2 linked regions of the Coturnix japonica genome follow. The protein of the gene in region 2 purifies or fractionates together with the protein of the main gene of each other region. This does not show direct contact. Links are inferred from orthologs where the notes say so. Each region holds a gene or a part of one and is shown on either strand. Other genes may lie near its edges.

Region 1 (4,383 bases), about 800 kb from region 2:
GAGGAACAGCCCCAGAGAAAAGGCTTAACAGCCAAACAATCACATTATATACTGCAATTTCTTTGGAGGAGTGCATTTATCATCTGCTGCAGCTCCCACCAGCCCTTACAGGACTGCAGATCTTGATCTGCTGGAGATGGGAATTACGGTGGCATCACCAACAACCAGCCAACAGAAGGTAGTAGTTTCAGCCCACCATTAACACGACCTCCTGGTTTCTTCCATGCTGAAGACAAGCCTGAGATTACCCCCTCAGCTACAGAGTGATGACAGCTGACATCATTCTACCAGAATCTGGCCCTGAAATTCAGACTGCCAGTTGCATCAGTCTCTTGGGCAACAGTTCAAAGCTAAGTATGTCAAGAAAGTCACAGGCAGTCAATTGCAAAAGTCCTTTAAAAAATCCCAGTCCCAGAACAGCATCAGTTCAATCCCCAGAACCATCTAGTTGTTTCAAACTTCCTACTGAACGTGATGCTCTTTCTCAGAGACAAGGAATTCTTTTGGACAACTGTATTTACTCTTACAAAGTATTTTCTTATATTGTCCATAAAGTGAAGTGTCTGTTCTTAGTTTACAGGACAGCAGCTCTGATCAGACTGCACCATTTGCAAGTATGTTTGCTCTGCCTTCTCAGCTCCTTCGAACACCAACAAGCTCTCCAAGGGAACTCCTATTCCTGTGGATTATTTTGTTGAAATACAACTAAATAACAATTTTAATGACCTTTAACAAGGACCCCACCTTGTAAGTTTTACTGGTAACTGATAATGGTAACAATGGTTTTAATGGTAACTTTTAGTGATACTCAAAGCTATAAAACACACCCACAGCAAACGGGAGTGGAGATCCCAAAGTCTTCCAATAAAGCACTGTTCAAATTCCAATGTATGTATGAGTTTATTCATGTGACAGCCAAACTAACCACCTACAACATAAAACCACCGTCACAATTTGGCAGGCAGGCATTAAGAGAGCAACAGACCTGAAGATTTTCACTTAATCCGAGAAGCTCCTTATTAAGCACATCAGTAAAAGAAGAGATTACTTTAAGTGACAGACACATTCTCATTTCCAGACTGCTTAAATAAGATTTTACCACATAAAATGTTTATGCTCAGTAACACATATCCATTGAGTTGTGCCTCCAGCTGTTAGGATGACAAGCATATAAAGATTTAGGTCTCCTTGAAGATGACAATAACTCCTACAGAACAAAGCACCCATAAGCCTTTTGCTAGCAGTAAATAGGGGCATTAGGCCACTGCTAGACACTGCATGTCAGAGAAAGCTGTGTGAATACACCATGAATTCTGTACAAAACTGAGATTTTAGTTGAGACTCAGAGGCAAACTACAGTAACTGAAATAGAAACTGGGAAAGAAAACTCACTCAGCTTTTGAGCAAAGTCATCAGCGATCTTTAAGGTCGTATATATTTTTGACTGTTAAGTCTATCAGCTCTTCAAAAGAACCCCCTATTCCCTCCATGACCATATGGACTGTAAGCAAAGACTTCCAGCTACCAAACTGTTTTCCATCACACTTCCACTGTGGTCCTCCACTCAAGTACTGGGCAGCCTTTAACACACTCTTACTCATTAGATCTGACAGGATCGTATCCAGCAGGGCTGAAAATTGTACAAATCAGGTCACTATTTGTAATGAACGTACCGTGTTTCCAGTTCCCACTTTATTACAAGAGACTGGCACCATCTCCAGCTTGGCATTGTTGGGCAGTCTGGCAAATCTCCACTGTAAAGTGAGATCCAAAACATTTCTCTGAAACCTAAAGAAAAACACAGCAGGTGAAGATATCAGGGAACCATCACAGAGCACCATCACATCACTTCAGGGACGTAGCATCCAGGGCTGGAACAAGAGAACACTCCATGGGCAGGCTGTAAGGCATATAATGTGATGGTGCAGCATACTGAAAACTACAGTTTGTAGAAGTTACAGATAAAATCTTCAACATATGCTCTAATGAGAGCAATGTCAGAGAAACGCCAGCTGAATCGCACACAAGCTGAGCATTCAATGATAACTAACAAGGTATGTTACTGCTGTCAGAACACCAGGAAACAGAGGGGTCCTGCAGGGAACTACAGAAAGTGTATGAGGGGGAGAAGCAGGGGCATGTCGTTATGAAAGGATTTCAGTATCTGCCTCAAAACTGAATGGACTTTGTCACTGGAAAATCCACTGAGATTGATTTGAAGAAAATAACCTTCTGAAGGATCGTCAGAATTGTGCAACATGGGCCTCTCTCCCCAGTGCTAACTACGAACTGTATCCCCGTGTATTATCACACAACACCTGTATTTCTATGGCAGTAACACCAGCCCCAGGCTCAGCACACGGCTCCGGGACACCCAGCAGCCAGGCGGCTGCTCCCACCCGGCCTTCCCGGGCCCAGCAGGGCGGGCAGCTGGGGGCGTGAGGGCCGCGACACCGGGCGTTATGGTGCAGGGCCCAGCCCTGGGCCTAGGCCTCGGCCCGGCTCGGAGCTGAAGCGGCGCGGGCGACCCGGCGCAGGGACTCACTTGAGGCCGTACTCGGCGGGACTGCCGCCCTGCTTCCTGCAGACCTCCTCGAGGATCTGCCGAGAGAACGGAGACGTCACGGCCCGGCTCCGAGCCCAACTCCAAGCCCGGCCCCGCCGCGCACCGCCCCCGGCCCGGACCCACCTGGAGCAGCACCGTGCCGGGCCCCACCCGCACCGTGACCCGCCGCCCGCTGGGGGCCAACACCGACACCGCCGCACCCCCCCCGCCCGCCGCCGCCATCTTCCCTCCCGGGGAGGAGCCGCGCTGCGCCCGCCCCGCTCCGCCCCCGATGCCGGTACGAGCGGGGCCTGCTGCGGGTGCGGGGCGATATCTCAGCCGGTACAACGAGCTCGAAGGAAGCTCGGTGAGCAGAGCAGGGTTCCGGGCTCAGCTCTCTCTGGGCCCGGCAGCACCGCCATCCCCGTGGTTCCGAGCCGACGCTCCCAGCGGCTGCCCGTGAGACAGCGCGGAACAGACGGCGCCACGGCCGAACCTCCATCAGCGCTACGAGCCGATCCGATCAGATGATGCTCCGGGAGCCAGGATCCGTCACATCGCGTGCCCAGAGCGGCCAGAGCTTCCCCTCGCTCCCAGCACCGGCCCTGCTGTGCTGAACGCCCTCCCGAAGAGTCAGCTGCAGACGGGGCTCTGGTTGCTCCGGTCGTTAAGAAAGGGAGCCTGGGTTGGCCACTGGAATTCCTTTAGCTGAAGCTTTCCCCCGCTGCCTCCATCCAGCTCTGTTCTGCCCGGCTTATAAAAGAAAAGAGCCCTATTAAAGATAACACCCGGTCTTAAGCACGGCAAAGAAGGGAAGAAACGAGGCAGTGGGAAGTGACTGATGCAGACGTCTCCTGGCTGCTGAGCACAGCTCCCCAAATCCAACACCAGCACTGCTCCATAGGATGTGGTGACAGCAGTAAGGGATGTCGTAGTGTACAACACGTTGTTTAGTACTCAACAGTGTCTTTAATTCACTATTGTTCTCTCTGTTCTGTTGGGAAGGGCTGCTGTCACACCATGCCTACAAATGGGGCAACAAATACCACAGGGTGCTTGGGTGATAAGGGAGCAACCCAAGCATCACACACAAATCAAGGCACCCTGCCCTCCCATTGGCGAATGCCTTCACAGAAGGTATGAAGAAACAATTAAGATGGCTGTGTTAATGACAGCTGCTGAGATGGAGCAACCATTAAGTGTTAAAAGATACATTTCAGTTTTCATAGAGCCTGAAAACAGTTCCTGGATGGGGTGGGGGGGTGGCTCTTATTTAATGTCAGAAAAAGGCAGCTGGTTCCTATTTTGCATCTGAAAGTGACACAACCTGTACAGAAAAGTTGCTCCTGTTGAATAAGGGGTAAAAAACATGAATGTAATTCCAGCTGAGAATCTTCATGTTGCAGGAATAGGGATGGACGGAGCTTTTAATGGCAAGTCAGAGTTAGACACGGAGGTTAAGGGTCATGTTATGTATCTAGAGCCACTTCTCATCTTAAATATTCATCTCAAATGAGAAGCGCCAGGAGAGAAAGGAGGGGGAGGAAAAATCAACCTGGAGCTCATTAAAGTGCAACAAGGAAAGAGGGACTCATTAGGGAACAGCTGAAAATATCTTCAACAACGCAGATTTCTGCTGCTGTCGGGGTGAAGATGCCTGCAGTGCTACCAGTGAGTGCAGCAAAACAACCATTGCATTACCAACTGCTTTTCAGGAGTGATTACAGCAAAGAAAGTGTAGAAGAATCATCATAGGATGGCTTGGATGGGAAGGGACCTCATCAAGCTCCAAGTCCTTGCCACAATCCTTCCCCACAGTCACCTTTCAGGCTGTCTGG
Region 2 (3,717 bases):
AGCGCATGGCAGGATTCTGACTCAGAGCTGCCATCTCTACATGGGCAACACTACGAGGAGAAGCATTCCTACTGGGAGAAACTGAATCCAAGAGCTTCAGGTGACATGCCTTCCCATGGTGATTTTCTGTAAGACGTTCCTGGGGCTCTTACCTCTAATGGTACACAATGCACACATTTACCCAAGGGGCCGTGGCGACACCTATGCAAAGAGAAACAGAATCAGAACAAGACTCATTCAATAACAGAAAAGTTAGTCTAGGGAGACTGTTACAGCTTAACAGTTTTAGCGTAGAAGATCTGGGCAACCATCTTAACCTGAACAACTCTCGACTTATTATGACATATGACAGAGACAGCGGTAGTGTGAGTTTAAATGTGAGAGTCTTGGGTTAAGATCAGACTCTTCGCATGTCTGTGTCACTGGCAAGCTGTTCTGCGCTGGACAGCCACGTGAACCAGCATCAGATCACAGCTTCTCAAGTTTTACAACCCCACCTGGAGGTTGTATTTCAATCCAAAGGATTTTAAACCTACGTCACGGGGTTGGCCTGTGTGGTTTTAACAAAAAAGACAACCAAAACATCCAGCCTTTATCAGTCACTAGAGGATGGTCTGGAACAAGCAGGGAAGCATGTGTTTATCAGACTGATAAGGACCTGCTGGGTGAAGTTACAAAGCAGAGGGGAAAACATCTCCTTTTGAGGAGGCTGATTAAAAAGAAAATACAAAAGAATCCCCGTGCACCTCTGCCCCAGCACAACGAACAGGTCAGTGCTAGCTTTGCAAAGAGATCCTCTAGAGAGCAGCATGGATGTTGGCTCTTCTGGAGACGAAATGGATGGGATCCAGTTGCAGCAGTGCTTTTAGCAAAGTATTGTGGCAGATAATGTACATAAAGGACCACTAAAGGCTGCTAATGCACTCAGCCAACGCCAGCATCCCCTCATGTTTAGATTGATATGCACTCACAAATACAGGAACAAGCCCAGACACACACATTTTATCATAAATATCCGCCGCTGTGCTTTGGCTCCCTGCTAAGAACAATACCTTCATTTATTCTTTTGAAAAACGTGGTTAAGTTAAGGACAATGTTTTTGCCACACAGTGGTGGGTTTTGCCTTTATTGTTTCAATAATGTGACTCTTGCCTCATTTATCATCAGTCTGAAAAGGTTAGATAGGATTTTCTACCTTAAGGCTTCATCTCTCCAAACTTACTTGCTGCTGCAGCGTTGAAGATAAACCATATGGAAGACAATACAAAGGGGAAGGGTGAGCTATCCTGTCTTACAAAGAATTCCTGGTTGACTTTAACATTTTCACTTGAGTCCTTTCAGAAGCTACTTTGTGGAGGGGCCTAGCCCCAAATCAACCACCATGCAGGAGCCAACTGGGACACTGTTAACAATGAGTCACAAAAAACACCCATCCAGACAGAGGACATTTCAGCAGCATCAGTGGAGATTTATGGTGGTATTAAGTCACCATTGTATTATTACCCTTACAAAAATACAAGCTGTTTTGTTTATCTAAGCCTCTTGCAGCTAAGAGTTTTGGCAAAGTTAAACCTTGCTGCATTTCTGTTAGCAAAATGGACTCCACGGTTTCACAGGAAGGTTAAGAAAGGCATGTGATGGAAAGGAAGCCAAAAACCAAGCAGAGGCAGAGACCCAAGTCCAAATTCCACGTCTCTGTCCTTGGACGTGGCTCCCACTCATTCCCTTCATTTTATTTTTCCTTTATAAGGAGGATTGGTGGGATCCAAAGACACAGAAGGGCTTCTGCCTGGGACATCCCTGGCCATGTGCCACACACACACACCTCAGTGCTGCAACCAAAGACATATGCAGCTGTTGTCAGCTGCCCCTGCAGGGCAGCAGGAAAGGTGAAAGCCCTGACAGAGGAGCTGTCTGCAATTAACCAAACCCCAACACTGTGCTTCCCACTGCTGCTGGCTGAGCCACACTGAGGCCGAAGCTCTGGCTGAAAGCATTTCCTTATTCACACCTCTAACACAAGATGCAGACCTGGCTCTGCAAGCCTGTCACCTCGGAACCCAGATAACAGGGAGCTGCACACTGACACCATGTGGAACAGAAGCTGCTGGTTTCAGAGCACAAAATAAATGATTGCTGGTCCCCCAACAGGGGCCACCTCGATCAAAACAATAGATGCTCTGAACGAGTCCTTCCTGGCCAAGCCCCTGGAATTTTGGTATCTGCTTCCTTCCTCAGCTCACCAGAGCTTTACTTTAACCTTGCAGGACAATGGCAAGGGCTGTTTTCCCTCGTGAATATTTCAAAGGCAGCAAGGATAAAGCAGTGGCTCAGACGGCAGTTCCCATAGCACACTTCCTGGCTCTTGGTTTCAGGCAAGATGTGACAGTCTGGTGAGGCACAGATGCACTGACAGCGAGCCACCTGTTGGTACTTACAGCTGCTGGTCTCGATTTCGATAGATCTTCCCATCCTGTTTGATCAGATACTGGTCGATGTCATCTTCCACCACCTGGGGGGCCCCCACCGGCCGCGAGCTCTGGGAGACAGAGGTGTCCATGGTCTCTGAGGAAGAGCCTGCTGGGCTCGATGGGTACAGAAACAGCATGTCGCCATGCCTGTGGGGGTGGAAAAACACAGAAGCATCAGCACAGAACAAGCTTTGCTTCCAGATACAACAGGGTGGGAGCGCAGGTGATAAGACTTGCTCAGACAGCTGGAAAGGATCAGACCACCCCCTTCCACCAGTAACTGAACTACACCAGACCTTCACCCTAACCACTTGAAGGAACTGGCTCCTTTGTGCTGAAGGGTGCAGGAAACGCCTGTGCTAGATCTGCTGCTCGTTACAAACCACATTAGTGTCCATGTTCCTTCAGCGAGTATTTCTGGGTAGCAAACTTCCTGGATCACGGAGGAGCGTGTGATTTATCACAGCCTACAAACAGACTAACAAACATGGCTCTATCTCCTTCTCTGGCATCTTTATCAGGAAACAAGATCAAGGAAAAAGAAGAGAGAGCAGAAAGAAGCAACAGCTCCACCAGAGAAAGGGATTTACATGGTTCCTGTGCACACCAAGTCACAGCCCTCCCAAGGCAGCTCCCAGTGCTGATACAATCAAGTGACAAGCTACACGCAACGGTAGCAGCTCTTGTATTTTAAGTCGGTTTAACATTATTCTTGATGTTAACAGAATGAAGACACTCCAACCAAATGCAAAGTGAATCAATCATTTGGCATTTCTGATCTCCCTAGGCACCTGGCTTCTGTGCAGGGGATTATCAGACCCTGGCATTAAATCAAGGAGGAAAAAAAAAAGCAAAAGTATAGTTTGAGTGCAAGCAGGGATGAGGGAGCAAAAATGAGGCCTGTTGCTGATCCAAACAAGCAAATTGCAATGCAAAAAGTGACCAAAGAAGCAGCTGCCACAGCCTAACACCTAGTTGCTTTGACCACCTCCATTTCTAAATGTCAGTCAAGATTGTCTCTTCAAGCAGCTGGCAAGTGACAGCTGAAAGCTGGAGTCTGCTGTACTGCGATGGTGGCTGCTGCTGCTCAGCTCAGAGGGGAGAGTTCAGACAAGCTTAGAGAAAAGGCACCCTGTTGTACAAAGCTCCCCCTCCGCCCACAGCACTCTCTGTCAGGACTCACTTGATTTTCAGTAAGTTGAGGGATTTGTTTTGTGATGCTGTGATCTCTCCTGTCCTGTTTCTA

Evidence for each region. Proteins that work in one complex are often made in the same cells at the same time.
Region 1: the proteins of NPLOC4 (region 2) and ASPSCR1 purify together in Homo sapiens (affinity purification with mass spectrometry; 3 studies listed by BioGRID and IntAct, with this or other methods). This does not show direct contact. The link is inferred for Coturnix japonica from reciprocal best matches to the Homo sapiens genes NPLOC4 and ASPSCR1.

What each region holds. Positions count from the first base shown.
Region 1 is NC_029533.1:4,396,227-4,400,609, forward strand, and holds the start of ASPSCR1 (tether containing UBX domain for GLUT4), read right to left. Parts: upstream 2,824-4,383; 5' UTR 2,789-2,823; coding exon 2,690-2,788; intron 2,602-2,689; coding exon 2,546-2,601; intron 1,789-2,545; coding exon 1,674-1,788; intron 1-1,673. UniProt on the Homo sapiens protein: Tethering protein that sequesters GLUT4-containing vesicles in the cytoplasm in the absence of insulin. Modulates the amount of GLUT4 that is available at the cell surface. Enhances VCP methylation catalyzed by VCPKMT.
Region 2 is NC_029533.1:5,200,473-5,204,189, forward strand, and holds part of NPLOC4 (nuclear protein localization protein 4 homolog), read right to left. Parts: coding exon 3,655-3,717; intron 2,619-3,654; coding exon 2,439-2,618; intron 202-2,438; coding exon 153-201; intron 1-152. UniProt on the Homo sapiens protein: The ternary complex containing UFD1, VCP and NPLOC4 binds ubiquitinated proteins and is necessary for the export of misfolded proteins from the ER to the cytoplasm, where they are degraded by the proteasome.